Cricetulus griseus: one gene and its partners. The protein of the gene in region 3 purifies or fractionates together with the protein of the main gene of each other region. This does not show direct contact. Links are inferred from orthologs where the notes say so. Each region holds a gene or a part of one and is shown on either strand. Other genes may lie near its edges.

Region 1 (8,693 bases), on a different chromosome or scaffold from region 3:
TGACATCTGGGCAAGTCCTGGGAAAGCTGGAGGAGCAGGCTCTCACTGCCAAGAGGTGACACCACCAAACCAGCCCCCCTCCCATTCCCTGGGACAGACAGTCAATAACAATGTTGAGTAATAACAGGATTAGGTATTCCCTGGTTCCACTGGCATAAGCACTGACCTGGCATGTACTATCAGAACTTGAAGGTAAAAGGTAGGGCTGAAGCTTTCCAGATGCAAGTCACTTCTGGTCACTCAGTGAGGAAGTAAGTGGGAGAGGTGAATATAGACCAGGTTCCTGCCGGCGTGGAAGTCATTCCCTATGCTCAACAACCAAGGTTTATACAAACCAGTGACCAGAGTTTGCCAAGAATGAGAAACTCCTTATCTGCTCAGGGCCTTAGGAATTCACTACCTGTCCCCAAACACCCTCCACAGGGACTCTTTGCCTTAAGGGCACAAAGGGTCTAGTTTCCTGTTATTGCTCTTATGTCAGGTACATTAGTCCAGTAGAACTTTTGGGACTGAAGTGATGATGGTTTAGTGGTTAAGACCATTTGCTCCTCTTATGGAGGACCCAAATTTAGTTCCCAGCATCTACATTGCTGCCTCTGGCACCAGGCAGTTCAACTTCCCCTTCTGGCTTCAGTGGGCACCTGCACACATGTGCACATATCCACACATGCACACCCCCACAACGCACACACACATATATATATATATATACATACATACAAACAAACATAAAATTAAAAAGAAAATAGCTTTTGTTTTGTTTTGAGATAGAGTTTCTCTGTGTAACAGCCTAAGCTGTCCTGGAACTCCCTCAGTAGACCAGGATAGCCTTGAACTCACAGAGCCTTCCTCTGCCTGGAATTAAAAACATGTACCGCCACTGCCCAGCTCAACAAAATAACTCAAAAAAAAAAAAAAAAAAAAAAAAAAGAGTTCAGGGGCTGCAGAGATGGCTCAGCAGTTAAGAGCACTGGTTGCTCTTCCAGAGGACCTGAGGTTCAATTCCCAGCAGCCTCATGGCAGTTCATAATTGCCTGTAACTCCAGTTTCAAGGGATCTGACATCTTCAAACAGACATATCTGGAGCAAAACACAAATGCACATGAAATAAAAATAATAAATTATTTTTAAAAAGAGGAAGAAAATGTCTCTACCAGATTGGCCCATAGGCAAGTCTGTGGGACATTTTCCTAAATTAAAAAAAAAAAAAAGAGTATGAATAGAACTTTTTACATGGGCAATGTTTTGCGTCTGCACTGCCTCATACACATGCTGGTCCCTAGTGGTTCTTCATGCCCAGACACTTGACATGTGACTACAACAACAAAAATCTTGAATTTTTGCTTAATTTGAATTTAGCTTAGTTAATTTTTTGAGACTAAGTTTCGATATGTAGCCAGTCGGGATTAAAACTTTCAACTTTTATGCCTCTACACCACACTAGTTCTAAATTGTTTTGTTGTTTTGAGACAAGGTCTCACTTTGTAGCACAGGGAGGCAGGGGTGGAACTAATTTTGCAACTTTGAACTCAGGGCAAAACTCCTAAATTCTGGGACTACAGATGTGTGCCATCGTGCCTGGAGTTACCAGCACTAAATTTTGTCAGATGAGGCAACAGAGGGCCAACGAAAAATGAAGTCACACGGCTCACTGGGAAGACTCACTAGGGGATCTTTAGACCATTGAATGGTAAAAAGGACTACCTGCCTCAGGGAACACAGCTAGGCTCCTAATTCAAGCGCTTGCTAGACAGTAACTTTTGAGTTAAACCCAAGAGCTCCTGCTCCATTTACATCTGATCCTTATCAGTTTCTATGTTGTGGGGATTATTTTGCATAAGGGAGTCAATTAAATGTCTAAAAATCAACTAACAAGTGTTTAAAGTGCAATTTGAGCCCAGAAATGCCTGGCCTGGCCAAGGCCCTTTCCACTCTAACCTAAATTTCTGGAAATGGCACCAGACCTGGTCATTTAAACCCAGCATAAACTGACTTTCAGAGTACTATTCACTAGCTGCATTGGCCCCTCTGAGTAGCCCAGCTTTTGTTCTCGTTCTCTGGAGTCTGCCAGCCCCAGGACTCAGCTAGAGACCCCTGCTAAATCATTCTGCCAGCTGGGAAGGTCTGGCACTGCCCACTATCTGTCAGCTGAATCCAGATAGGAGCCCGGGTTTCCGGCTGAGGTGAAGACATAGCAGCAGCACCAGCAGAGAGGCAGACAGAATGGACGGGGCCCCAAGCTAAAATCCTTACATGTTTGACCTCACAAGCACCTCATTTCCTCCCAGCCACCCCGAGAAAAACAGAACTTGTTGTCCCCTCTTTAGAGACAAGGGACCAAAGCTCTGGCCTGGCACAGTGAATGTGGGGTTTCAGAGCCTCAACAGTCCACAAGGGTTTAGTTAAGCACTTAGTCACAGAGAAAGGTGAGCCCTGCAGGGTCACTGGTTCAGGAAAGTAAGGCAGAAAGGCCCAGCTTATGTGGAGCTAGCTCACAATGGAGAAGGGACCAGAAACAGTATCTGGTGGGGAAAGAAAAGCTTTTCTGAGGAAGTGACTCTTTGAGGAAGCTATTCTAGAATCCAATATGGTTTTGAAAACATACCACCCAACACAAAAGTCAGCCCCTTGGAATTTTTTGGAGACAGGCATATCTGAAGGCTTGACACTCTGAAGGTGGGTCTGAAAGAACTATCCATCTGGCCCTCCTCAGTCTTGGGGACTACATTCTGGAAAATGGGTACCCTGTCTTCGCAGGATTCTACTTAAAGCAGACACCTTTAAGGACATGTTTTCTCATTTATTTATTTTTTATTTTTTTTAAGACAGAGTTTCTCTGTATAGCTTTGGAGCCTCTCCTGGCACTTGCTCTATAGACCAGGCTGGCCTTGAACTCATGGAGATCCACCTGTCTCTGCCTCTGGAAGTGCTGGGATTAAAGTTGTGCACCACCAGTGCCCGGCTCTTTTATTTATTTATTTATTTATTTATTTATTTATTTATTTATTTGTCTATTTTGGTTTTTGAAGACAGTTTCTCTTTGTAGCCCTGGTTGTCCTGGAACTGGCTCTGCAGCCCCGACTGGCCTTGCATTCAGAGATCCACCTGCCTTTGCCTCCCAAGTGCTGGGATTAAAGGTGTGCAGATCGTCTTTTCTTGAGGGAGTAGAAGATATAGAATGTTGCAAGCATTACCAGCTTACTCCAATACTGTAAAGTGACTTTCTTAAATGCAGTGTTGAGGGACACCTGTAATCCCAGCACTCAGGAGGCTGAGGTGGGAAGATGGTCACAAGGTCAGCAAGAGACTGTACTAGAGAGTGAGATCCTGTCTCAAAATGGTGGGATTGGAAGAGGCTTCCTCTAAGGCACCCCATCTCCCTGACCACCTGAGATTTTCTTCCCTACCAGGCACTGTGGAGAGAAGACATGCAATGGCTCTCCCCCTCAGGCATCAGAGAATAGACTCAGGAAGTCTCTTGAGAGGCACTCGGGGTAGGGAGGGGATGTCTGCTAAGCCAATGTGACAGAAGCTAGCATTTTAATGCAGTGGCATGTTCCCTGCAATAAATATGTTCCAGGCACACAGCTTCAGGCCTTTGCTTGCATTATTATTATTTATTTATTTATTTTGGTTTATTTGAGACAGGGTTTCTCTGTGTAGCTTTGGAGCCTGTCCTGGAACTAGCTCTTGTAGATCAGGCCCTGTGCTTGTATTTTAATTTCTCCAATAATCTTTTAAAGATACCATCAAATCCCTATGCAAGAGACTGCAATCAAGTGATCACTTAACCAAGATAACCCAGTAAGAAAGTGGAGGGTGGGATCAGAATCCAGCACTCACCCCAATGCTCAGGTGTTCTCATGGACAACATTGTCCACAAAGCAAACAGACAAAAGTGACCAGAAAAGAATAGGCAGAACCGTGGGGTTGTTTCTTTACACAGATTCCTAAATCATTCGAAGAAACCATCGACCACTGGATGGAGAACCTCCAGAAATGACATTCCTCAGACATGGACAGGGATTTTCTTAGGGTCATGCACACATCTCAAGACTGGTCTGTCAATACACCAGCTCTGGCAATACACCTTCCACTGTTCTAGGCTTAGAAAAAAAAAAAAAAGAGCAATATCTTCTGTCGTATCAAGCATTCTCCAAAATCCTACACATACACAGGCCAAAGAATGAGGGTTAAGTGAAAGAAGCCTCTCTCTCAGCCCTTTAGGCTCTCAATTTTCTCATTCTGTAAAATGGGGCTACACTACAGCTTGTATTTGCCGTCTTAGACAAAACCTGTACCATGGCATACAGTAGGCGCTCCATAAAGAATAAACAGCGTTCATTGCCGAGGCTGCTGGAAGGAAAGGGGGGGGCTTTAAAACAGCATTATACCTTGCCTCCCTGCAAAGTCCCTCTAGTCTCCGAGCAAACTTTGAGGACCCTAGAACATTTTAAAAGGGAGCAGCCCGAGACTTGTTAGTCTTCGGGAGTGTACCAAGGGTTATCCGCTTTCTCCCCTAGCTCTAGCCGCTGCCGCCGAGGATCAAACGGCCAACCAAACCCCTAAAGCACTCTGGGCAATTTTCAGATCAGGGGTGCAGGTGGGGACTGGGGAATCGATCTTTGCTGGCCAGTCCCAGGTGGCCCTTCCTTTCTCGATCGGTGCACAAAACGATCCTAGAAAGAGCTCCGGGCTCGCCTGCCCCCACCCAAAGGAAGGGAATCTGCGGAAGGGGGCGGGGAGGAGGAGTGGTCGGGTCTCTCCGGCCGGGATTTGCCTGGACTTGAAGACGATCGCTCCACCAGAGCACAAACCCGGGGAGCCACGAGGAGGCGTCCCTTCTCATTGGCCAGGAGTCCGAAGGACCCCGGGAGGGCTCCGCAGCCCCCTCCCCCGCTGGGTGGGGGGGGAGGGCAAGGAGAGGGAAGAGAGACAGGAGGCTGCAGTTGATGCAACCCTAGTCCCGGCTTACGTGCTCCCAGACCCTAAGCACGGGGGCCGCTCCAGACTTAGGTCGGGACAGCCCCAAGCTCTGCTGTGGCTGGAGAAGAGCAGTGTCGCCCGACTGCTGCTTACCTCTCGGGTCCCGGGGCCCGCGACGCCGCCCCTGGCGAACGGCAGGTAGCCCTTGATCTCCGCACGGCACTCGGAGTCCGCAACGATCATGGTGTGCGCCAGGACCCAGCCGCGGGTCGTCCGCGCCTGGGGCACCCGAGGGGGTCTGGGGCGAGCGCTCGCAGGAGGCCGGGGCTAGGGGTCGCCGGGGAAGCTCGAGAACCCCGGGGTGTCTCTCGGGATACCGAGAACCGGCGCTACCACGCCGGACACTCCTTCCAGCCCGGCTTGGGGAACTGCGGCCGGCCTAGGAGGCCTGGGGTTGGTCACGCAGCAGGGGTTCTCACGGCCCGGAGTGCCTCGGAAGTCCGCAGTGGCCAGCGCTGCTCGCAAAGCCGGCGCTCCTCAGCATCCCCACCGCAGAACTGCCAGCGCTCGCCGGGCTCTGTCAGCCCGCTGCGGTCCCTGGAGGAGGGCGGGGACAAAAGAGCCCCACGGAGCAGCCAATCAGATGCCTGTTTCCCGGGGAGGCGGGGCCGACACCCCCCTCCGGAGCCAACCGTCTCGCCAATCAGCATCGAGAAGCACCTGGGAACTCTGGGAGCTGTAGTTGACCTCACACAGATGCTGCAAACTTTTGCAAGAAGGGGTAGTCAGACCTCTGGCAATACCAGATGAGAGTGACAGCCCAGGGAGTCATTAGGGCTGCGTGATGAAATGGGACTTCACCGGGCTGGGCCAAACAGCCAGGTGTGAAATCCCTTCCGAGTAAGTTCTTCAGCTTTCCAGTTCCTGGAGTGACTGATTAAGGTTGCAGATAGCCCTAACACATCCAGTTGTTCTAATTATAGATCAAATACCGCACATTTGAAGGCCAAGATCCACCACCTTGTCCCCTCAGGTCTTGAGAGATCTGCACGGTCAGAAGCACTGGAAAAGCCCTCCTTGAAAAACACCTTTGGTCGGCTGGGCGTTGGTGACACATGCCTTTAATCTCAGCACTCCAGAGGCAGAGGCAGGTGGATCTCTGTGAGTTCCAGGCCAGCCTGGTCTCCAGAGTGAGTGCCAGGATAGTCTCCTAAACTACACAGAGAAACCCTGTCTCGAAAAACAAAAAAAACAGCAAAAAAAAAAAAAAAAAAAAAAAAACCAACAACAAAAACACCTTTGGTAATCTCAAATTTAATCTCAGTCTTTATTGCTACAATTTTCCCTCTTCTGCTCTGCCTAGATGCCTTCACTCGAGTCTTCCACCCTCCAGGCACTCCTGGAAACTTTGTAACTTAGCTGTTTGGCTGGGTCTATTCTCACATATCCCTCTGGCCACTCCTCTTCTGACTCCTCTTTCCCTTCCACTCCCTAAACATGGGTGCTCCCTTAGTTTCTGTTTCTATCCCTCTTTTTTCTAGACACTCACCCTTGTCACTTCTGGTTCTCACCTCTCCTTTTGCAAGGAGATTGGCTTTTCCAACCCACTCCCCACCCCCAGCACTTTAAACTGGATTCACCCATTCACATCGAGTAATCTCATCCTTCAGTTTTTTCTCTTTTCTTTTCTTTCTTTCTTTTTTTTTCCCCTGGCACTCTCTCTCTGGAGACCAGGCTGGCCTCAAACTCACAGAGATCTGCCTGCCTCTGCCTCCCGAGTGCTGGGATTAAAGGAGTGCTCCACCAACGTCCAGCTCAGTTTTTTTCTTTAGGCCTCTGTTTTTTTGTTTCAATTTAAGTTCTCTTTACTCTGGTCCAGCAGTCCTGGACAGAGCTGACTAAGCTGACTAGTCCTTACAGATCCCTTCTGAAATAGTCTGAGTTTAGATGTATAATACCAATAATGATCTTTTGACTAGGTCTAATGCTTTTCCAGCTTCTGTGGAGAAGGCAGTTTGCACACCCTTCCTAAGCACTTGGGCTGGGCGTTTCTCTCCTCTCTTCGTTTCAATACTTTTCACACTTTATCTTGTATTATCATTTTCTGTGTATTTGTCTTGTATGAAACTTTTGATTAGAAACTCATTGGGGGCAGGATCCATATTTTGACATATTTTCCTCCTGCTTTGCGCACAATGTCCTTCTAGTCACATACCCTTGATCACCAAATGTCCCTGTGGGTTAAATTCTCTTCTAAACAACTCTAGATCAGATTCGGCTTTCATTTTAAAAACATACTCTGTGGGCTGGAGATGGGCCTTAGTGTTACAGGATTCCATTAGGATCCCGAGTCCCATTACCACGCAGACACACAAACAAAAATGACTATAATGTTAATGGCCAGAGTAAAAGAAAAATTCCAGTGGTATTTCATCAACTACAGAATGAAGCTAAACCCCTAGGTTGATCTTCAAGGCCTGCCAAGATAGGTTTCAACCTAACTCTTCAGTTTTATCTGTCACACCCATGATGCTTCCACTTTTCGATACTCCTCTCTGAAAGTTCTACCCATTGAGGTACTGTAGAGAACTCAGTGCCTTTATTCTGTTTGTGGCTTTCGAGATGTCACTTCCTCCAAAAGCCTTCTTCAGCTCTGCTGGAAGGCGTCTTGCCCAGTCCTCGACACCTTCCACCTCTCCCTAGCCCTGTCTTCCAAACCCACTGAACTTCAATGTCATGTTTACAAGTCTTACTGCTTCCCTCCAGTTAATGGGCTCTGTTACCAGCCACTCACACAAGCCAGGACACTTCCGTTTAGAAAGGTGAAACTGATTGTCTGGAGCACACAGCATCTTCTGTTGGCTGCATTTAGCTGTGGACAGCAATCATGTCTATGTCTGTATCTCTCACCCCACTGGCGTGTGTATTTAATACTTTTTTTTCTGTGCTGGGGATCAAATCAGAGTCTCACACATGCTAGAAAGAGCTCTGTTGAAATACCCCTCCATCGCCCCCACTACTTATTTTCAAATGAATATGAACTGTTTTCATAAGAATAATCCTTTAGCTGGGCAGTGGTGGCGCATGCTTTGATCCCAGCACTTGGGAGGCAGACGCAGGCAGACCTCTGTGAGTTCAAGACCCAACCTGGTCTACAAGAGCTAGTTCCAGGACAGGCTCCAAAGATACACAGAGAAACCCTGCCTTGGGGGGGAAAAAATCCTTTAACAAAGATGGGCATAGTAGTACATTCCTGTAAACCCAGCATTCAGGAGGCAGAGACAGATCACCCAGGGGACCCTGTCTAAAAATAAAAGGAACTTGACTTTCTGATCTTCAGAGATGTGATTATAAGCTGCACTTACAAAGACAATGATGTTGTGAAGGAAAATCAGAAGACACTAGTAGTCTAGTCTAAAGTGAATGATCTTTTGTGATCCAGCTTCTGTAGAATGAAGGCAGAGAAGATATAGGCTTTGAAAATTATTCAGCTCTACCAATGAGAGTCCAGCACATATCCATTATCCCAGTATAACTCTCACCGCATGCATCTTCCTTAAGTAGGCTGTATGTCCCCACTTGGCAGATGACAAAACCAAAGCTCTCAAGAGGTGTGCTGGCCGAGGTCACATGGCCTGATAATATGCAGAGTGTTCAAAGGCAGTATGACTCCATAGCAGAAACTGCCACACCAGTGATGACAGAAGGATGTGAATGTGTCTAAGAGGCAGGCTGGCACTTGTAATTGATGCCTAAAGCAGATAAAT
Region 2 (8,038 bases), on a different chromosome or scaffold from region 3:
TGGCTGGTGTAGGAATTCACCTGGAGGAGTGAGACTCTGTGTACTAACAAACAGGGTATCTGGCTAGAAGAATCTTGAATAGCCTTTCTCAAATTCCTGTGCTCCAAATTGGTCCACTAGGTGGCGCTGTGATGCATCAAGCCCTGAACTCTGCCTAGCAGATGACAAAGCTATATAGTCTTACTTACTACAACTTTCCACCACAATCCCAGTCCACTCTTTTTTCTTTAGAAACCTGAAATCCCTGGTTTGTTTTTTACTTTGTTTTTTAGATGCCATGTAGCCCAGCCTTGTCTACATAAGTGAGTTGGTTCCAGACCAGCCAGGGTTATATAATGGAACCCTGTCAAAAAAAAAAAAAAAAAAAAAAAGAAAGAAAGAAAGAAAGAAAGAAAGAAAGAAAGAAAGAAAGAAAGAAAGAAAGCCAGACAGTGTCACACACATGCAATCTCAAACCAACCTAGACCATTTAGTGAGACACACACACACACACACACACACACACACACACACACACACACACGCATTTTAACAGAGTGTTCAGCCACCGATATAATCAAATCAACATGAGGCTTCCATTGTGTCCCCAATACTTGCTGACCCCATATAGTCAATGTCTCAAACTCCAGCTCTCCTGGAGCACAAACTATCACAGTCAACTCCAGTTCTACCCACTGAATCTTGATTTCCTCATATGTGAAGAGGGAGCTGTCAATGAGGCCCACCTCAATAAAGGTGACAAAGAACTTGGCAGTAGGTAAGCTCAATAAAATGTCAATTTTAATGGTTGAAAAATATTTTCGGGCTTTTGTGTATAATCTTGGGCCAAGCTTCTGTTTTTGTTGCTTTAATAATTTTATTTTTATTTTGTGTACATTGGTGTTTTCCCTGCATATATGTCTGTGTAAGGGTGCTGAATCCTGGAGTTACAGACCGTAGTGAGCCACCATATGGGTGCTGGGAATTGAACCCAGGTCCTCTGGAAGAGCAGTCAGTGCTCTTAACCACTGAGCCATATCTCCAGTCCCAAGCTTGTTTTAAAAGGAGTCTGGAGTGATGAGTCCCTGCTAAGTACACAACACTCAACGAAGGGGCTGCCATTTGAAAAATGGACACCAAGATGGTTTCCTGAAGAGTGACCACACAGCTGTCCCTTCCCTAACCTTCCTTGTCCCTGTCTCAGCAGAGCTCCACAACACACACCCCAGAGCATTACCCAGCCTATGGCAGCATTGTCTATAGAATGCTTCAGCACTGGAGGCTTAGGAAAGCTGACCCAGGAAGAAGAGATTCAACAAGCATGGCCGTCTTACCTGTCATAAGCTTCTTTGAGGTCCCTAGCCAGCTTGCACTTGGGCAGGATATGGTGGAACGGGGACTGAGGACCTTCGTTTGCTACAAGAATCACAACAGATAAGGATTTACAGCTTCCAAAGCAAGAAAACATGCACAAGCCAGAACAAGAATTATCTTTAGAACAAACTCAACATTAATAAGTAATGTTAAAGCAATGTTAAACTAACATCAAGAAACTCCTTGTAATCATCATCATCATCATCATCATCAATGTATCCCAGATTCCTGTAAAATAAAAGTGGACTCACACTGATTTGTGAAATTATTTCTATATAAGATACCTTTATTTAAACTTGTCACTGGCCTATACAACCTTGTAGTAACAGAAGCAACCCATTTCACTGCCTCCCATGGAAGGAATGTCTCTTGGCTCACTGGACTTCACCTTCTGTTGCAGTGACTGGGTAGGCCCATGCCATATCCCACTCCTCTTCCCATACTTGTATGCTAATGAGATTTGTTTTTATGACTGAATTGTCTTTTATTAATCTTCATGAATCCCTAACAAAATATGCATAATTAAATGAATGTGGGTTTTTTTAAATATTTAATTTTTTAGCAGATTATTGTTGGTTTTGGTTTGTTTCTTTCCTTTTGATATAAGGCCTCACTCTGTAGCCTTGGCTGGACTAGAACTCAGCTCTGTAGACCAGGCCTCAAACTCACAGGGATCCACCGGCCTCTTCCTCCCAAGTCCTGAGATTAAAAGTGAGTACCATCAAAGAAGAGGAAATAAAATTTCTGGATTGTTTACTATCATATTTATAATTAACTAAAATAGAAAATGTAAGTGTTTGGTTTTTTTTGTTGTCATTTTGTTTTTGGGTCCTGGAGCTGGAACCCAGAGCCTCACATGTACTAGGCAACCACTCTACAACCATTTCCAGGTCCACAATACAAGTGTTTTGTTTTGGAGACAGGGTATCTCTATATAACCCTAACTGACCTGGAACTCAGAGATCCACTGGTCTTTGCCTCTTAAGTGCCAGTATTAAAGGTACACACCATCTTAGCTGGGCAGTGATGGTATACAGCTTTAATCTCAGCACTCAGGAGGCAGAGGCAGACAGATCTCAGTGAGTTCTAGGCCAGCCTGCAGCCTGGTCTATAGAGTGAGTTCCAGGATAGCCAGAGCTACACAGCAAACTGTCTCCAAAAAAAAAAAAAAAAAAAAAAAAAAAAAAAAAAAAAAAAAAAAAAAAAGTGTATGCCACCATACCCAGCTAATTTTCAAAGAAAAAAGGTAAAATTTTTACTGAAAATATACTAGAACCAGGCGGGACTTTGTTAATTTGTTTTAACTTGATCTAACTTCTGTTCTTCATTCTTTATTCTATAGCTGCTAACCTTAGGGAAAGGAGGCCAAGGTTACCAGTTTCTCTCCTATGTTTGGTCCTTTGGGCACACTAAACACTACAGTGTCTGTCAGCAAAGATTATTTATTTCTTTTTTGTTGTTGCTGTTGTTTTGGTTTTTTTTGGTTTTTCGAGACAGGGTTTCTCTGTGGCTTTGGAGGCTGTCCTGGAACTAGCTCATGTAGACCAGGCTGATCTCGAACTCACAGAGATCCAACTGCCTCTGCCTCCCGAGTGCTGGGATTAAAGGCGTGTGCCACCACCACCCAGCAGATTATTTCTTATAACTGGTTAGGGGATAGTTAGATTCTTCTTCAATTTAAAAGCCAAGTATGGAAATCACCTATTTTACCAGCAGGATGATCTAAATACCCCTCCCTGAGTTTCCCACTCCAGGCAATCTGTCTAGCAGAACCAATGCCAGGCAGAGGCACCTGTCCTAGGTGAAAGATGATTATATAGTGTGGGGGGGCAGTATTTCCTATAGATATCATTTCAGACCCATCCATATATAAACCCCCGAGAAGAGCCTTCCTGTGACCAGCTCAATGTGAAGATCCTACAACTTCTCTGGCCAGTTTCTGCTTACTAGCTGTTGTAAAGACTTCCTCTCCAGTGTCCAGCTCACCAAATGCCAAAGCTTTGGTTAGCTTCTGACTGTTCCATTGTGATATGGGAGAGGCCCTTGGAGGCAGAAAGATTCTCTGTACTCTCAGCTTACCCCAAGTCCACAAAGAGAAATGCATGCGATCAAACCTGCAATCAGGCAGTAAGCCTGCCTTTCCTGCATAGAGGGTCTCTTTAATAGTGTCCTGAAACTAGAGGGCAAATTAGGAGCATTATCTGCAATTGCCTCAAAACAAAGCATAGTGACCAGCGGGTCCTCTGGAGAAGCCATCAGTCAGCCCAGACCCATGCTCACCAGGCTGCTTCACTTACCGTCAGCCATGGCTGACACCTCATCCTGAAGTGCTAGGATCAGCTTAGCCTCTCGAGTGAGGTACTGGCAGCGGCGCTCCTCATGCTGCAGGACAGTGGCAATGCGCCGGGACAAGTTATGTAGACAGTTTATCACTGATGGGTCAGCGTTGGCCTGCATGAGAGAGGCCAAACAGCCAAAATATGTATACAGAGACACACAATTTACAAGGAGCTAATACATGTGTACAGCAAAAGCACAGACCATGAAAAAGGCCCTCTCCATTCCTTTCCACTAGGTTCCTCCTCATAGAACTACCTTCCTGAAGTCCCTGTGTGTGTCTGCAGCCTACCTACATAAATGCTGGCTGACACCCCATCTTCCAGTCTTGGGAACAACTGTCTAGAGGGTTGCAGAGATGACGCTATGAGAGTCCTCTATAAGGGACACACATTCACATTATGCTAGGACTGTTCAGAAAAGCTAGGGACAGCTAAGGGCACAGATCCCACCCATCTGTTATGTGATCTGGGTCACAGGTCCTCATCTCAGGAAGGACAAGCAACTGAGCAGAGAAAACCAGTCAAACACATACAGCTCAGAACAGAGGCTGCCCTGAGCAAAACCTTGGAGGTATCTGTAATCATTGCTGTGCACTGACCATTTATGAACATGTCTGGTCTACAGTATAGAGGAATTCATTCACAACAGGCCATACTGTTACAGAACACATAATACAGAAGCATTGTGCTGTTTTCTAAACTTCTGTCAGGGATGAGTTCTTCCTAGCAAAGAAGACCCAAGTTAACCAGAGAGTACCAGTAGGCTCCAGGTCCATGTCCACCACTCCCCCCCCAACCCCCAGTGTCCATTGTGCACCCACAATGACTAGGTCAAAGCACCACACAGAAGGTTCTCAGGTTAGCAGTGTCCCTCATCCCTCTGGAACCTATCAGAGACCACAGTCAAACAGCAGGTGTACACACCCAGACCTAGGGTGGAGCAGGCCACTGTGGGATCTATGGAGATGCTTGAAGGAGCAGATAACTGAGCCAAACATGACTCAGTGTTCCTAGAGGCCACCAGGACTGCTGAGTAATACTTTGGGGTACAGGCTTAGAAGGGAGAGGGACAAATGGCAGTACTGATTAGGGCCTCTGATGCTGTTTTCCCATCCTGTGTATTTTCCAGGTGACCCTGTGCCTATTACCTTTAAGTTAAAATCTTACCCAGACAACACTCTGTTTACCTGGAGTTGGAGAGATTTTCTATATTCTCAGTAACTCCCATCTTTACAAAAGGAACTTGCAACTGACTCTGCAGGCCTAAGGCATCCCCTGAACATGTCCTAAATGGACTGTTTTATAGAGTATGCACAAATGCCTCAAAATAAAAATACACATTTAGAAAGAGTCTGAGTAAAAACATTTCCACTAGAAAAGAAGTGAAAAAATAATCTTAGACACAGGTTATTCCTCTGAGAAAGGACTGAAGTCACAGGTGCATCTTACCTTCTGCTGGAGGTGCCACTAGCTGAGGCATAAAAGCACCCTACATCAGCTGTTGGGGACCAACTGTTTGAGTTTCCCATTTGTGCAAAGTGGTTCTTACCTCCCCCCCTCCCCCGAATCCCTGTAAGGCTCAATGACATACACTGAAGGGATATCTGGTATCTCTTGTTTGCATGGGCTAACACCGAGGAAGCTGACACTACAACATGCCAGACTTTAATAGGAACGCTTACAAAGAGCATACTTGTAGCTAATGTGACAGTTTATCCCTATAATGCCAGCACTTGGGAGGCAGAGGTAGAAGGATCAAGTTCAAGTCTACATATGAAATTTGAGGCCAGCCCAGTCTATGTGACACTATCTCAAACAAACAAAGTGAACTTCCACAGTACAACATAGGAAGCAGCCCCAAAGTGACCATGTCATCATCACTCATGGGGCTTCCTGCCAAAAGCTTGTATTCAAATATAACACCTCCACAGTAACTTCCAGTCTGTAGGACACAGAAAGTCTACCCAATGAGACAAATCTGGATGTGGAAAATGTGATGGGACAATGGGCAGGACAGCTAAGACTAGTAGATACAGAGACACTACATACACTGAGTATGGTCTGCATCATGGCTCACACAGGCCAACTGGAAAACTATGTTCTCATTCAGGAAGTTTTAATGGACCAGGTAATGATTAATGTCAACTTATCGTGGTTAATTATTATCAGATTGAAAAAGGTATTAAGGCATAAGATAATAACCGTTACTTTATAGGTAAGTCTTGTAGTAATGGGATAATAAGTGGACATACAACAGGCATGGGCATATGCCTAAACTATAATCCTAGCATTTGTGAGGTGGAGGCAGAAGGATTAGGAGATCTAGGTCATTCTCAGATGCATAAGAGTTCATGGCCAGTCTGGGATACACAGACCATGTCTAAAAAAGAAACAAAACCAGGCAGATCTCTGGGTTCAAGCCCAGCCTTATCTACAAAGGGAGTTCTAGGACAGCAAGAACTACACAGAGAAACCCTGTCTGGGGGCAGGGCAGAAAGATGGCTCAGCAGTTAAGAGTACTTGCTGCTCTTCCAGAGGTCCTGACTTCTGTTCCTAGCATACCAGGTGGCTCACAACTGCTTGTAACTCCAGGTCCAAGGGATCTGACTCCTCTTCTGGCCTTGGACAGACACCCATGTACTCATGCACATAAATAAAAATAAATAAAAAACAAACAAATTGACATGAGGCCTAGGACTTGCTTTGAGATACAGAGGCATAAAAACTGCTACCAGGCTCCTCATGTTTCCTAATAAGAGGAATAAAATATGAATCTAGATAGCAGTGAATGACACATGGTAACATTACATTCTAAATGTATTAGGTATAATTAAATTCTGTGTCTCTATTATTTGGTAGTTTTTTGTTTGTTTGTTTGTTTTGGTTTTTTTTAAGAAAGGAAGGAAAGTAGTGTTTCTTTCCTTCTTTTTTTTTTTTTAAGATTTTATTTATTTCTAATGTATACAGTCTTCTGCCTGCAGGCCAGCAGAGGGCACAAAATCTTATTCAAGGTGGTTGTGAGCCACCATGTGGTTGCTGGGAATTGAACTCAGGACCTCTGGGAGAACAGTCAGTGCTCTTAACCTCTGAGCCATCTCTCCAGCCCCTTATTTGGTGTTTTAAGCCATGAGCTTACTATACAAAGACATGTGCCATCATGCCTGACTAAAATTGTATACTCTTTTGAGGGTTTCATTTGCCTACACTGACCTCAAACTCACTATGTAGCAGAAGCTGCTTTTCTCACCTCAGCTCCCCAAATTCTGGGATTATAGGAATGTACCTGGTCTAGCTGAATGTTCATCTGCCTGTTTTTAAACTAGGATCTCATCCTGTAACATAGGCTGGCCTCAAATTTGTGGCAATTCTGCTGCATCAACCTTACGAACACTGGGACTACAGGTGTGTGCCACCATACACTTTATTACTTTTTTTGTTAAATTTACTTAATTTTGTTTTGTGTGCATTGGTGTTTCGTGTGTGTGAGGTTGTTGGATCCCTTCGAACTGGAGTTACAGACAGTTGTGAGTTTCCATATGAGTTCTGGGAATTGAACTCTGGTCCTATGGAAGAGCAGTCAGTGCTCTTAACCTCTGAGCCATCTCTCCAGCCCAAAATTGTACATTTTAAAATGGAAAACATTCAGGACTAGGGATGTACCTTAGTAACAAGAGTGCTTGCCCAATATGCATGAGGCCCTGGATTCCATCACTACTATTAATAAAGTAAATAGTTATATGTATGTATTTTACAAAAAAGTTCAAGGAGGAAGAGAAGGAGGGAAAAACAATGAGCTATGCTCCACCTGCACATCATAAGAGTCAGTGTCATGCCCACAGTCTGAGCTCTGGGCCAATGAAAAACTCCCTGGAAACTGGCTCTCCTCCCTCAGACCCTACTTCCTGATCTGAGCACTCATACACTCATTCACTCACCCTCAGTACAAACACTCACCCTCAGTGCAAACACCACATTAAAAAGAATCATGGTGGGTGCTTCCCGCTTTGGAGATGGATCTGTTTTGGAGACCTGTAAAAGAGCATAATTCTAATAAATGAAAAGACAAGATGTCCTGTCTGTCTGTTTGTGACAGGCTATCACTAGAACTTCTTATGGATCCAAGCTGGTCTTGAACTCACAGTGATCCTACCTCAGGCTCCCAATACTGGAAATGGAGAAGTGCGATGCCACAGCCAGCAGAGAGCCATGACTTTCTAAAGAAAGTTGTTAGATCATTCTACGTCATGCATGGAGAGCTCTAGAGTGTGGTAAAATGAGAGAAAAGCATCCCCAGTCTTTGAGAAGCCATCAGTGCTTTTGCTCAGAGAAGAATCAACCATATAAAC
Region 3 (8,038 bases):
AGGTGTTGGAACCTGGTTATTTAAGCCTAGTTCTTAAGCATCAAGGGTTCATCTGCTGGGACCAGTGCAGAAACTGGAAACACCCACTCAAACAATAGCATCTACTCACAGGTGGCATTCAATCCTTTCTTTTAAACATTTTTATTGTGTTTTCTGGGAGGAGGGATGCAAGCCACCATGTGTATGTGGAGGTCAGAAGACAATCTGAGGGAATGAGTAAGCCTTTATTCTCCTTCCACCATGTGTGTCTCCAGGATCAAACTCAGGTCATCAGACTTAGTGGCAAGTGCTTTTACCATCTTGCCAGCCAGGTATTCCATCCATTCAGCATACTGCATATGATACTGTTCTAGCAGAAAGATTTCCAAGTTATCTTGGTCACCATACCAAAGAACCAGAAGTCTACTGTACAGTGTTAAAGCCAGAGAGAAGCCTTAGCAGCAGTCTGCATACTCACTGTCTTACAGGACCATTTACTTAACTTTCCTGGCAACTAAAAGATCTACCTGAGTGACTGCTGAAAAAAAACTAAAGCAGTTTAGATACACTGTCCACAGTCAAAGAATCAACCAGCTAATTTGGGTGATTTGGCTATAAAGTTCACACCTCATCGGTCCCACTAGCTTGTCCATCAGAGAAGTAGCACAGAAAAACAGTGCCAAGGGCAGGAACATGCTTGGTTGTGACAGTGCCTCTCCCAGCACGGGGAGAAAGGGAGAAAGGGCTTTTGCATTTTTTATTTAAAACTTTAATGTGATTTGAGTTTTTCTAACACGTAATTGTGAAAATGGCACATCCTGATTTCAGAAGTGGCCTATTAGTGTTGTGTGACTAATTAGATAGTATTTCTTCTTTTAGTTTAATATTAAATAATAAAATTACATAAAAGTTTAGCAATGGGAGTAAAACATTTACAAAGAATTCCCTCTTTCCCCTCCTAGTTGTAGGGATGGGACCCAGACCCCTGTACATGTTCTGCCTCTAGGCTGACATCCCAGCCCAAAGTTGCTTTAACAACCACTTTCATCAAGCTGTCTTCCCAGTGCTTTGATACTAACCTTACAGTCGAAATAAGTTAATGAACCCCCATCTTTGAAGAAGGAATCTTGTAAGAGGAATTTAACTGATTAACAGACATGAACTTAGACAGAGACATGGATTCCTGCAGCATCTCCCAGACTCACCTAGGAGTAGGTTCTGTTGGAGACACTGCGCGATGCATCGTCATGGGCCTTGTGAAGTACACCAGGTAACCTGATGAAGGAGACACAGGAGCACGTGGTGTCAATGAGCTGGACATGGGAATCCCAAGGCAGGATAGGGTAATCTTTTGTTTTTTGAGACAGGGTCTCACTAGGTAACCCAAGCTGTACTAGAATTCATAGCAAGCCTCCAGCCTTGGCATAGTAAGTATTGGGATTAAGGCATGAGCTCCTATGCCTGGGTTAATGACTGTACTTTAAAAAAAAAAAAAAAAAAAGGTTTTTTGGTGGTACTAGGGATTGTACATGGGGTCTTACACATGCTAAGCATTATTACCACCAGCCAGGCAGGGTTTTTCTTCTATTTCCGTATACGCAAGGCATAGCTCCACAAACTGCCAAGGCTTGTGACTACACTGATCCTTAAAAGGAACAAGGTGAGAGTCTACAAGATCTAGGAGAGGTAAAAGTATCAGGGATCTAAGTAGATGCAAATTCAGGTCCATCAGGACTAAAGCAGTTAAGCCTTCAATTATAGAGAACATTCTTTTTTTTACAAAGACTTATTTATTTTACTTATGTGCACACGTATGTGTTTCTGTGTGTGTATGCTGTGCATCTAGATGCATGCTGAGACCCAAAGAGGATGTCGGATCCCCTGGAGCTGGAGGTTCAGATGGTTGTGAGCTGCTGGACATGGGTGCTGGGAACTGAACTTGAGTCCCCTGGAAGAGCAGTGAGTGCTCTGTACTGCTAGGCCATCTCTCCAGGCCCCTGGTAAACATTCCTAGGCTACATCTACAGACATGAATTTAGTATTATACCATATGTTGTTTTGAGCTCTTACAAAGTTAAAAACAAACATTTACTGATAATTATGAAGCATATAAGCCTTTCTTAGCTACACTTCTTCGGAGTTAAGAGTCAAAGAACAGAGAGATCTACCTGCTCCACAGAACCTGGCCCCAGAGGTCCTAGGAAAGGGAACATTGGCATCCTGGTATGATCCATAAGCAGTGGTCACCCGTGCAAATGTCGGTAAGGGCGGCGTGACAGAGTTTGGGAGTGCAAATGGGTTGCTAGAAGCACTGTCCTCTTGGTTCTGAAATCAAAGATAAACACACTAGAACCCACGAGCTATCTTTAAGTCGCATCACAAAACAGTGGTGCAGCACTACAACGGGAGCCAGGGTCCCGGGGACAAGAACTACGACAAGACACTAAAGCATGGCTTGGCTCAACAAGTTCACATTCCCCACCACGAAAGACTCAAGGCAGGAGACGAGCTGGCGCAGGCAGGGCTCCAAACAGCTCTGGTTGCGTTTCACTTTCTGCAGGGAAGTGTCCTTTAGGATCTGGAAAAGACCCAAAACACCATCAGGGAGAGAATCATATGTCCATATGTTTCTGCTTGGCTTTATTCTGCAAAGTGGCTGGAAGCATGTTGGCCCTGGGAGGCTAGCACATGGTCAGGCCTGAGGCTTCTACTGGTTCCCATAAGGGCTCAAGAAAAGAACTTTCCCGAGCCTTAGACAGAACAGAATGGCTATTCTTTCTTTCTAGTGAGTCTACACAGCTTTGCCTCCACACATGAGAAATCTAATTGTTTTGGAAACATCATCACTGGGCTGGAGAGAAACTGCTCTGAGTGACAGAAGCCAGGGCAAAGATTTCTATTCAGCAAAAGTTATAATACATTTGCTGTGTTTTCATCCACTAAAACGGTGACCCCTGACATTTTAAGGTACATGCTAGAGATATGAACTGACACCCACATTAAGACAGGCACATGAACTGGATCACTGCTGTTGCTCTCTGCAGGGAACACAGGAAATGTGCATCCTCCAAACTCACAGAAGGGTAAAGTATCTCGTTTTGGGGGTTGACCCAAGGACTCATGTAGCCCAGGCTGGCCTCAAACTTGCTATGTAGCTGAAGATAACCTTGAACTCCTGATCCTCCTGCTTCTCATGCTAGGTGCATGGCTTACAGGACTGTTATCACTGTGTCTGGCTCATTTTCACTAATTGCATGTTGACATGATAATATTATTTTAGATGTGCTGAGTTAAATAAAAGTACAATTAAAATTAATTATCTTACACACATCAGTTTCTGAACCCACAGGGCTTCTTTTCTGAGATTTCTTTTTTTAAGATTTATTTATTATGTATTCAGTGTTCCTCCAGCATGTGTGCCTTCACACCAGAAGAGGGAACCAGATCTCATTATAGATGGTCGTGAGCCACCATGTGATTGCTGGGAATTGAACTCAGGACCTCTGGAAGAACAGCTAGTACTCTTAACCTATGAGCCATCTCTCCAGCCCCTTTTCCTGAGATTTTTAAATGACTGTACATTTTCAAATATTTTTAGCTTCAAAATATATCTTGCCTATTCTTCCTAGATAAGTGAAAAAAACTGCCTTGCAGAGTTCACAACCTCAGACTAATGCAAAGCTCTAAATTTGCAAACTCGTTACTTATAGTCAATATATTTGCATTCGATATTTATGAAATCCTTCAGATCCAACATTTGTAAATGTTTTTCTGAAGAAAAATCAACAGTTTTTTATTAGAATTCCACAGGACATCCATACCCACCCCCTCAAAAAAGCAGGTTAAGAACCCTGTCCTACTGCTGATTGCCAAGACAGTAGCTATTCAGCAGATACTGCAGCATCTGGGGAACAGGCAACTTCTAAATCTTACTGATGCAGGTTTGTGCTCAACCTCACCAATGCCTGCTACAGCGCATAGAGACTTTGAAGCTGGGAGCTCAGCCTCACTCACCTTCAGCAGCTTGGCTTTCACGGCAGATGTGATGGTGGTAGGGTTAATGAACTGGAAAGAAGGAGCAGCATTGTTGGGGTACTGTGCTGGGAACGTCACCAGCATCTTGACACGGTGGTTGCTACAATGCACAGATACTGTGCAGCTCCTGTCTGCAGCGTCCATCTGTAAAACACAAGTGCAAGGTGCTTTGGAGACAAACTGCAAAGGGTCTTCAGAGATGAAACACATTCACCCTATCATACTGTGCTGTATTTTATTTGCAGTGCTGAGCCTTGGACCCAGGGCCTTGAACAGGCAACACAAGTACTACTCTACCCCAAGCCACACCCTCAGCAGAATACACATGGATTTTAACAATCAGCATAAATGCTCATGTTTCTAGTAACTGAATAAAAGGAAAGTGCCTACAAAAACAAATAGTTCGAAATATAATTTATTTTCAGAACAGATTTTTAAGTTTTAATACTGATTTAAATAAATTCATATATATAAATGTATATATATGACTTTTTAATTTTATACATATGTAACAGGTAAAGACATTCATTTTGCATTTTAAAAAGTTTTATTCTTACAGATTTAGAAATTTGAGATTTTTTTTAATAACCACAAAAGGAATTCTTTCACACCTAATGATTATTAACAGAATGTAGTGGAAGATGTTCTTTTTAAAGACTTTCTATTTATCTGTATGAGGGCATGCTACATGCTTGCAGTACCCACAAAGGCCAGGGAGGGTGTCAGATTCCCTGAAAAGAGTTACAGACAGTTGTGAGCTACCATGTGGTGCTGGGAATCAAACTTGGGTCCTATGAAAGAGTAGCCAGTACTCTTAAGCTCTGATCTACCTGACAGATGCACAAAGGAGTTGCTTCATTTGTTTATTTATCTATTTCATTCACTCATTCATTCATTTGTTGAGACAGGTTCTTACTATGTGCCCCAGGCTGGCCTGGAATTTGTTATGCATCCAAGGCTAACCTTGAACTCATGATCTTTCCTGAGTGTTGGGATTACTGAAATGTGGCATCACACTTTACTGGTTACAGAATTTTGTTTTGTTTTGTTTTTTAGGGTGATGGGAATGTTCTAGAATTAGAACATTGTGCAGGTGAAAGCTGCACAACTCTGGAATCAAGGCCTCTTTCTAAAACCAGTAGTGGTACTGTTCTCAACTGGGACAACCGAAGCATAGGCTAAGTTGATACAGATAGGCAATTACACTAGCCTTTAGCTCTGATGATTTCCAATATGGCCAACTAGAGAATGTAGCTGAAGTACAATGAAAAGAGCCAAACCCATGGGAAATTGAGAAACTTGAATTATGCAACTAAATTCAATTCAATCTAAATATTATCATTAGGGGTCTGGAGAGATGACTCAGTGGTTAAGAGCACTAGCTGCTTTTCCAAAGGACCCAGGTTCAATTCTCAGCACCCACATGGCAGCTCACAGTTGTCTGTAACTCCAGTTTCCAGGGATCTAGTGTCCTATTCTGACCTCTGCAGGCACTGCTAACAAGTAGTATACAGACATACATGCAGACAAAATACCTATACACACAAAATTTTTAAAAATTAAGATTTTAAAAATCAAAATCAAAAACAAGTATTATCTCTTCCCACTAAACAGTAGTTTTGCACCTTGTCTCCATTCCCTCATCTGTAAAGCAGAGTGACACTTCACATCACAAAATGGCATCAAAGACCAAGCAAATCACAGCACTGCAGTGCTTATCTGTCTATAGTGAAATAACTCTGAGCAAAAGCAAAATTAGCAAAGCTTTAAAATCTCTTCCTGGAGTGACACTCGGTTCTCTGAAGCAAGCAATTTTGAAATACACAAATACACACACACACACACACACACACACACACAGAGAGAGAGAGAGAGAGAGAGAGAGAGAGAGAGAGAGAGAGAGAGAGAGAGAGTGAGTTCCATATTGAGAGCCAGGCCAACCCAAGGCTTCTCAGAGGCTCTGATGAAACCACAAAAGGAGCCTAGTTTTGTGTCCTTGCCAAGGGGCAGACTAGTCTGGGGCTGAGCCCTGGACCCTGAATGAGTTAGGATTTTGGGCTGCTGTGTGGTCAGTCTGTGATGTACTTGCAATACCCTGTGTTCTCTTTGTGCAACACTGCTTGATTAGCATCTTGCTGACTTTGTCCCATTGTATGATAACTTCTGCTGGCGTCGTCCCATTTATCCCCCTGGAAACAGTATATAAGATTTTGTACTTCTTAGTAAGTTTGCTTGGCATAAGACATAGCTTGTGCAAGACCTCCTGATCCCAGATTTCTGTCTTCTTCATCGTCTCACCTCTTGGCCATGTAATCCTCAGGACCCTGTCACCGAAGAATAACCTTCTGGCCCAAGTCGGTTTCAAGTGCTAAGTGAACCAAGAGACTTAGGTCACCTTCTTACTCTGAATTTACATCAAAGGAAACTAGCTCATAAAGGGAAGGTGGAAAAGCACAGTACAATAGCATGAGATTTGGGAAATCCAGATCCAAATTCAGCTCTGCCATTAGCCTCCCCCATAATCCTGTCAATCAGTAAGCCTTCCCAGAGCAAACCTCATCACACACAGTAAAGCAAGGGGCTAGAGAGATGCTGAGGGAATGCCATGGCACATGACCTTCAAAGGTGTCTGCATTTGGGAAACAGCTATTTCTTTAGAAAACGTAGGAATTAAGAAAGAAGCCTGGGACTAGAGCGATGTCTCAGCAGTTACGCACACTTCCTGTTTTCCCACGGGGTCAAAGTTCAGTTCCCAGCAGCTGTGTTGGGCAGCTCACAACTGCCTCTAACTCCAGCTCCAACAGACCCATACTCCCACACAACCCGTCCACAAGCATGAAGTCCAGTTCATTACTGGGACTTACCTCCACATTGACATTCCGGATTTGCACATTGATCAAGGAGAATTCCTGCTGCAGAGTCTGAGGCAGGCCTAGTTGGTCTGATTTCCTCTCTTCCAGCAAACTGCTGGGAGGATCTTCCTTTAAGGCTACCAGGAGAGACAGTCAATATTGGGAATGTTTAGAAAATGAGAGTTCTGGGGAATCTGCCATGTAACTCTGGGATACATAGTGGGACCACTCACCTAGGATATCGGTTGCATTACCATCTTCTTCTCCGTGGCTTGAGTTGGGCTGGTGATCTGTGTCTTGAGTGTGTAGGGTCTTCTCTGGTTCCGGGAGAAGAGAAATGCTCTCAATGAACTCATCAACACCATCCAGTATGTCATTGGCACAGAGCTGAAAGCAAGGGCAGAGGGTGGGATGGAGAATGTGTCTCCGTGTTAAAGTGCTTGCCTAGGTTTGATTGACAGCAGCACCAAAAACCAAAACAACAAAACATAAGGGTAAAGGTGCAGAGCTAGAGAAGTAATGGAAATGGTCACTATGTCTAGCTAAAGAGTTCAGTATTAAAAAATGGGAATCATAAAGAATAGGGATGTATCAGCTAAGAACTGATATAATCAAAATATATTTTACCCACCACCAACATTCTCTGGTTAAATACAAAGGATAATATACTCCTCTATTACTCTACTCTAGACATTTTACATCATGAGTAGAGTTAAAATGCTAAGGAAAAAAAAATCAACTCAAATTCCAAGTCTTAATGGAATTATTCAGCTAACTCACAAACAAAAATACCATAACCTTAAGCATTTGGACCAAATGGTATGTTCTAGAAAATACAGATTTAAATAAAAAGTCATAAGATAATAGGACTTAACCAAAGTGCTCAGGTGAGTTTAGACCAAGCAGTGCTATAAATTTCTCCCAGCATTTCCCATTGGTCCTGGAGGAGCTGGTGTAGGAAATGCTGGCGGGAATGAAACACCAAAGAGCTGTGTTTCTCACCATCAAGGGATTCAGCCACTGGATGAGAAGAAGAGCAACATACCAGGTACCGCTTCCATTTATGTAAAAAACAAATGCTCATATATGGAAACAGTGGAAGGAACGTCATAGAGAAGGTGACACTGATGGATGAAAGGGCTATAAACATCTGCAGAGCATAAGGGCAGGCC
Region 4 (6,635 bases), on a different chromosome or scaffold from region 3:
ATGCTTGCTTTGGGGGCAGCAGGCGAGGTAACGGAGAGTGGGGTGAAGTGGAGGCAATAGGAGAGCTGAAACAGGGAAGAGAGCAAGGGGCGGCCTTATCCTTGGGAATACAGGTGCCCTGGAGAGAAGCAACAGGGGTAGAGGGCACATGCCCCCATTCATACACACATGCAGTCACACATGCAGAGATGAGTCAAGTCCACAGTGAACATCCATACACCACAGACACACAGACAGACAGACATCTGCATGCCCACCAGAGGACAGAGTAATGACCACACCAGGACACTGTCCCTGCATAGGTATAGGTATTCAAACACACCCACACCCACACCCACACACGCACGCGCGCGCACACACACACACACACACACACACACACACACACGCACACACGCACACACGCACACACGCACACACGCACACATACTCACACAGCACCTACATCTACATGATGCCACAACTAATCCCCTGGAAAGAAGCTCTGGGCACCACTATGACAGGAACCCATGGCTCAGAACCCCAGCACTATTGCCCTCTTGGGCAAGAGACACAGACAGGGGGCCATTGCTCAATACTTCCACCCTATTCATCCCAGGGTCAGGGAGGAGCCAGGGCCAGACCTCGCGTGCCTGCCCACACAACCACTGTCAGCTGTCAGCAGAAGCAGATGCCAGGCCACCAATGCAGACAGCTTGGATTACAAGGGTTCTTACCAAATCTTTCCCATCCTTCAGGGCTTAGCTACAGACTCTCTCTCTCTCTCTCTCTCTCTCTCTCTCTCTCTCTCTCTCTCTCTCTCTCTCTCCACACACACACACACACACACACACACACACACACACTCTCTCTCCAGGCCTGGTGGGCACATGGACCCTTTTAGAACTCAGTTTTGTTAGCACCAACTGTGTCACTTCACCTCTCTCTCTGTGCTTCATTTGCATCTATGTAAAGTGAGGATAAGAAAGACGGCGTCATATGTGAATCAAGAGGCTTTTCCCCTTAACAGCCCTTCCCTACAGAGAAGGGCACCGAGATCAGTGAGAGAGACAGAGAGAGAAGCAGCCTCCTGTGGGCATGCATGCCCACCCTCTGCAGGCAAGCTCACCTCCTGCTCCTGCCTGGGCCTTTCCTGCAGGGCATGATATCGATCCTGGCACAGCATGGTGGCCAGAACTTTGTTTTCTCACTCCTACAGAGGAGCAAGAATCCAACTGTGAGGGCTGGAGAGATGACTCAGTGGTTAAGAGCATTTGTTGCTCTTACAGAGGATGAGGATTTAGTTTCCAGCAGCCACATGGTGGCTCACAATCCATAACTCCAGTTCTGGGGGATCCAGTGCCCTCTTCTAACCTCTGTAGGCACTAGGCCCCAAGTGCAGGCAAAACACTTATAGACATAAAATAAATAAATCTTTAAAAAAAAAAAATAAAAGAGCCGGGCGTTGGTGGTGCACACCTTTAATCCCAGCACTTGGGAGGCAGAGGCAGGTGGATCTCTGTGAGTTCGAGACCAGCCTGGTCTACAAGAGCTAGTTCCAGGACAGCCTCCAAAGCCACAGAGAAACCCTGTCTCAGAAAAAAAAAAAAAAAAAAAAAAATAGATAAATAAAAGAAAACCCAACTGTGATGCAATTTGGCACATACAGGACCAGGCAGCTCTTGGGACAGGAGAAGGGCAGAGGTCTAAAAACCTGGAATTTCTGTTCCTATCTTCGAGGATGACCTGAGATGGACTCCTGTATATTGACAAGATCAAAGAGTAGAAACCGGCCTTGGCTGAGGCTTCTTCCTGTCTCATCTCCACTTGTCCAGGCCCACATCTCAGCCAGAGCTGAACCCTGGGCTGCATGATAGAAGCCTAAGCATACCTTCTATTGCCTCTAGAGTAGACCTGCCAAGTCCAGCCCAGGCCAACCACACTGATTAGAGGCCCCCATGGAGGCCTGGAGACTGCTAGGCCCAACCCAGAATACCAGCTTCCTGGGAGGCATCAGGCTGGGGTGAAAGCCCCTTCCCTGGGCACCTTCTAAGCCCTATGCCTGTGCCCCCAAATATCTGTGGCCCCTTGAAACATAGAAGGCCCGTTAGAGGCTAGAACCCCAGCCCTGGGACCCCAAGGATCCCAATGCCTTGACAGGCAAGGCCCTCCACAGTGACAAAGTCACATGTGGACAGAGCTAGAAGCAGACACACAGACACACACTTACTAGGCTGTGCCTAACGAGCTCTCGAGTCATCGCTTCTGCAACTCTTCGCTTCTGCGACTCATCGCATCTGCAGCCTGTGGCCCCAGCCTTGAGGTGCACCGGAGCAGCTCACTGGGCCGTGGTTCTTGCCCCTGGCTGAATCAGATATTGGGTAGCCCTGAGAGCCAGCGAGGGCCAGTTTGGACCTGGTTGAGGCCTGAGGCTTTTGAGAGCCAGGATGACAAAAGCAGCCAAACCTGAGTGATTCACAGGCAAACCTCCCAAGCAAGTGGCACAGGGCCAGCTGTGTATAGGACAGGCAGCCCTGAGCGTCCTGACCTCCCTCTAGTGCAGGCTGTACCCCCAGTCTGAGCCTACAGTAGTCCCCCATTACAGGAGACAGGCCTTCTCCATACCACTCCCCACCACAGACAAATGCTAAGGAGATGCTCCCTCCCAGGGTCCCAGAAGGAATTGATTCCTGGACACAGAGAAACTGAGGCTGAAGAAGAGGACTAGCCAAGGCCTCTCACCACTCACTCACCATGCCGGGCTGTGCTCTAGACTCATCGGATCTGAGTCTGAGGCCCCAGCCTTGGGGTCCCCAGAGCCAAGTGGGCATACTGCCAGAAGCCTAGCCCATGTGTTGGCTTTTCTGGGGAGTCACTATGACCTGGGTACACAGAAGTCACACCCTTCTTCCCCTCCCGAGCATGGGTGGGTCTGAGCTGAAGGTATCTGATAACCTCCCAGACATGTGTAGGGCCCTGACCACTGCAATGGAGTCCTGTCCTGCTGAGCAGGCCCCAAGATGGAAAAACCCAGCCCCAGATGTGCCCACATATAGCACTGGAGGGCAATGAGGGCTCCAAGTGGGCTCTTGGGTCCTGTTCTGTCCACTTAGTCTTGCACCTCAGCAGGAAAAGGCCTGACCACCAAGTGTCATGAACTGTGTGATTCCTCCATAAGAGGGACATAAGAATTTAGGCAAGGCATATAGGAAGGTAGGCAATAACCTGGGAGAGAGATGCTTTGGGACCTCCTGGATAGGTTCCCCAGTGTCCAGCCAGGGGACTTTTAGGTGAGAGACAGAGGAATTTCTCCCAGTGTCCAGAGCTCTCTAGGTCATCCTGAAGTAACTAAGAATGAATATAGACTCTAAACTTTAGAGACAAGCAGCTTTGGTTGGGAACCATGTGACTTAGGCACAAATGGGCTGGGGGCTTTAGTTGCTCATCTGTCACAGATACACACTGCTTGAAAAGTCAAGGTGGCGGGAGAAATCTGGGAGATCAAGACCTGACACTGGCTGTCACTCGGAACCAGAGAGCCCAGCTCAGCAAGTCTTTTATTTATTTAAACAGTCATAAAAATAAGAGTGAGATGGGAAAACCCTTTTCCTCGGGAGCCCCAGGAAGGGAAGGCACTTCTGGAACTCACCTGGCCAGGAAGGCAACCCAAGCCACAGGCAGAAGTACCCAGCCAGGTGAGAGAGGGATGGCTCGGGCCTCACGCAGGGACTGTGCAAACGCTGAGGCCACGTAGAAAGTGATGGGTTGGGGGAGGGGGGTGTCTAAGCCCCAAGCACCAAGGTGTCCTTTGTGGGCAGCCATTAGGAGCCAGCACTGCCCACTGTGCCAAGAGGTGCCTACTTGCCCACACATGCCAGTTCCATGCAGAACCAGGGTCCCTTGGCAGGATCAGGGGCTCATTCTGCAGCTTCAGGAAAGAGCTCAGAAAAGTCTCTAGAGCCCAGGGCAGGAGAATGCTGGGATCCTGGTGTTCCCTATGGACCTTTGGAAGCCAGGCCTTCTTGCCTTCGCTGGAGTACATCAATGACACTGCTGATCCCGTCTTCAGGAACCTGGGTAAGAGCACAGCATACAATGCCAGGGCTGAATCTGGCCAGGGATGCCCAGCTCCCTAAATCAGCTGGGATTTCTTCCTCCCCCCACCTCTGGGACCTTGCAGGAATCTCCAGCCCAGCCCAGGCACTCACCAGGGCATGGTCAAAGTTGAAGGTGCTGATGTAATAGGCAGAGATGTCAGCAGCCGCCAGGGGACCCGCGATCTGGGCCACAATCCCACATTCATCTGAGGGTTGGAGATCAGGTGTCTCAGTGTGGATGCTGTGGACACCCATAGGCTTGCCCTAACCCCAATACAGGGGCAAGCGATCCTCACCGAAACCCAGGGGCTGTCCCCCGATGCGCACCATCCTCCACAGCTCTCCAGAGGAACTGGTCAGCAAGAGGTCACTGGGGAACCTGGTGAGGCAGGTGGGTGATGGAAAGGACACTCATGCATCCCTATTTACCCTGATCCCCAGGGCATGTCCTCCTACCCACCACCGAGCATGGCACCCCACCTCCCCCTCCTCCTCCCCTGAGACTGGCTGAGGGGCTATGGCCTTCTTGGGTCAAAGAAGGGGTTACATACTTTTTCTGGGTCTCTGCATCCATAACAATGGAGATGTAACCCTCAATGAGGGAGAAAGCGAAGAACGGGATGGAGCTTGACTCAGGACCACCTGAGGCTGCCTCCTTGGGGACACTGGAGAGGGATGACAAGGTCAACGGCTCTGCCAGGCACATGACCCTCTCCATTTCCTGACTACCAGACCACAGAGGAAAAACCAGAATGGATGGCTCTGGGAAGGCCCTTGTGAGAGAATCCTAATTTCCTGAGGGATGAACCCTAACTGCCAAAGACCAAGGGTCTTGGGCAGAGGGCCTGACTGGGGTGTATGTGGCCGTGGAGTGGTTCTGTCAACACCTCTGGCTGAGGGTTAACCGGCTGTCAGGAACCCTAATCACTGAGCAGGATACAGAGTGACAGAAGGGATGGATGAGACAAAGGTCAGAGTGCAGGAAGCACTAGTGTAAGGCCAGAGATAAAGTGCACGCATGGCCCACCTGTGTGAGTAGAAGAGGACATCGATGAGGGTGGTGGCAATAGCCGGCAATGTTTCGGGGTCCAGTGTGAGAACACAAAATCGGTTCTGCGGGCTCTGAATGGGATGCACCGTGGGGCTGGGCCCTGCTCAGGATACATGGGCCACAAGGTGAAAAGGCAATCCTGGGCTTGGGCGACCCCTGGTGGTTGGGAAGGGAAGGGCCTGGGTGTGCCTATCCCAATGTCTCACACATTGAGAAACGGTATCTGCTGGTCCGATTGAAATACCCATCCTATCCCTTTCAAGGACAAGCCCTCCTGTAAAAGGTCCTACCTAAATCTGGGTGTTGGAGGGCAGACCTTACCATGCTGGGCTCGGGGAAAGCCATTGCTGGAATCATCCCTGGCAACAGGCACAGGTTCCCCGCCTACTTCCCGGTAGATTTGGAACTCCTGGGCCAGTGTGTGGATCACTACAGACAGGTCCTGCTCCCGTACCTGGGTCAAGGCAAATGACATACATTATACAGCTCCAGGCTCCTCTGCTTATGCCCTGTATCAACACCTGCCCAAACCCACCAGGATGAAGTCTGTCTGGTATGTGGACAACATCAACACAGACACGTGGTGCTCGGCCAGTGGGGCAATGACAGACCGGGCAATCTTGGTAACTCCAGCAGCCTGCATCACTGCACCGCTGTGAGATGATACGTTCATCACCAGCCATGTGGCCTCGGCCACTTGCAGGAACTCAGATGGGGGTAGCTCTGTGGGCGGGAGGTACACGCCTGGTTAGTGTGAGCCTTAGTGAGTTCCAGCAAGGCAGGTGAGGTCTGAAGAGCACGGCTGTCTTCTATCATTTCTGCCCTGCTTCGTTTGCAGGTGTTCTCAAACTCGGAATCAGGTTCAAGTTCCAGCTTCACCTTTGCTGTGTGACTTGAGGTAAGTGGCTTTTCATTGTTTGTTTTGAGACAGAGTCTTAAAATGTAAATTAGGCTAGGCTTGAACCCAAACTGATCCTCTTGCCACAGCCTCCTAAAACACTGTGATTCCAAGCCTGTTTAGTCTGTTTCCTATCTGCAAAATGGGATATTCCTGGGGACTTTTCTGTGGCCTAATAGGCTTCATAGAACCACCAGAGGGCGCCAAGCAATCTACTGATTGGGAGTTGCTCCTTTGCAGACAAGAGATTTCCCTACAGAACAGGGAAACCAAGTCCTTCAGGAGGGAGGTTAGGCCAAGCTCCAGGTGGCTGGCTTGAGACTCTAGGCCTCAGAGGATAGGCCAGGAAGGCAGAAATGGGAGCCAGAAGTCAGTTCCCAGGTCCCAATGCTGAACAGGGACAAGGGCCAGGGTGGCTGTTGTTCGCCCAAACACAGCCAGGAGGCCCCAGGACCCTGCTCTGGGCTTGCTGCCTGCTCCTGCATTCCTTCCCCAACCCTCAGGCTCCTAGACTTCCCGGGCCAGTAAAGGAGGATCTGGCTTTCACTGGCGAGAGAATTCCAAGAATAAATAATGTCCGTGGGTTAAAACAGCTACAGGAACCCCTTAA

Evidence for each region.
Region 1: the proteins of Wdr59 (region 3) and Sesn2 purify together in Homo sapiens (affinity purification with western blotting; 4 studies listed by BioGRID and IntAct, with this or other methods). This does not show direct contact. The link is inferred for Cricetulus griseus from reciprocal best matches to the Homo sapiens genes WDR59 and SESN2.
Region 2: the proteins of Wdr59 (region 3) and Nprl3 purify together in Homo sapiens (affinity purification with western blotting; 3 studies listed by BioGRID and IntAct, with this or other methods). This does not show direct contact. The link is inferred for Cricetulus griseus from reciprocal best matches to the Homo sapiens genes WDR59 and NPRL3.
Region 4: the proteins of Wdr59 (region 3) and Castor1 purify together in Homo sapiens (affinity purification with mass spectrometry; 3 studies listed by BioGRID and IntAct, counting the BioPlex papers as one, with this or other methods). This does not show direct contact. The link is inferred for Cricetulus griseus from reciprocal best matches to the Homo sapiens genes WDR59 and CASTOR1.

What each region holds. Positions count from the first base shown.
Region 1 is NC_048595.1:20,749,556-20,758,248, reverse strand, and holds the start of Sesn2 (sestrin-2), read right to left. Parts: upstream 5,482-8,693; 5' UTR 5,170-5,481; coding exon 5,080-5,169; intron 1-5,079. UniProt on the Homo sapiens protein: Functions as an intracellular leucine sensor that negatively regulates the mTORC1 signaling pathway through the GATOR complex. In absence of leucine, binds the GATOR subcomplex GATOR2 and prevents mTORC1 signaling.
Region 2 is NC_048600.1:45,975,752-45,983,789, reverse strand, and holds part of Nprl3 (GATOR complex protein NPRL3), read right to left. Parts: intron 7,722-8,038; coding exon 7,647-7,721; intron 3,805-7,646; coding exon 3,651-3,804; intron 1,606-3,650; exon of another isoform or gene 1,396-1,605; coding exon 1,314-1,395; exon of another isoform or gene 1,187-1,313; intron 1-1,186. UniProt on the Homo sapiens protein: As a component of the GATOR1 complex functions as an inhibitor of the amino acid-sensing branch of the mTORC1 pathway.
Region 3 is NC_048596.1:187,891,267-187,899,304, forward strand, and holds part of Wdr59 (GATOR complex protein WDR59), read right to left. Parts: intron 7,254-8,038; coding exon 7,100-7,253; intron 7,004-7,099; coding exon 6,879-7,003; intron 4,159-6,878; coding exon 3,994-4,158; intron 2,558-3,993; coding exon 2,462-2,557; intron 2,305-2,461; coding exon 2,148-2,304; intron 1,255-2,147; coding exon 1,185-1,254; intron 1-1,184. UniProt on the Homo sapiens protein: As a component of the GATOR2 complex, functions as an activator of the amino acid-sensing branch of the mTORC1 signaling pathway. The GATOR2 complex indirectly activates mTORC1 through the inhibition of the GATOR1 subcomplex.
Region 4 is NW_023276807.1:100,665,656-100,672,290, forward strand, and holds the end of Castor1 (cytosolic arginine sensor for mTORC1 subunit 1), read right to left. Parts: intron 5,851-6,635; coding exon 5,663-5,850; intron 5,582-5,662; coding exon 5,449-5,581; intron 5,228-5,448; coding exon 5,104-5,227; intron 4,742-5,103; coding exon 4,628-4,741; intron 4,456-4,627; coding exon 4,373-4,455; intron 4,283-4,372; coding exon 4,188-4,282; intron 4,053-4,187; coding exon 3,975-4,052; 3' UTR 3,489-3,974; downstream 1-3,488. UniProt on the Homo sapiens protein: Functions as an intracellular arginine sensor within the amino acid-sensing branch of the TORC1 signaling pathway. As a homodimer or a heterodimer with CASTOR2, binds and inhibits the GATOR subcomplex GATOR2 and thereby mTORC1.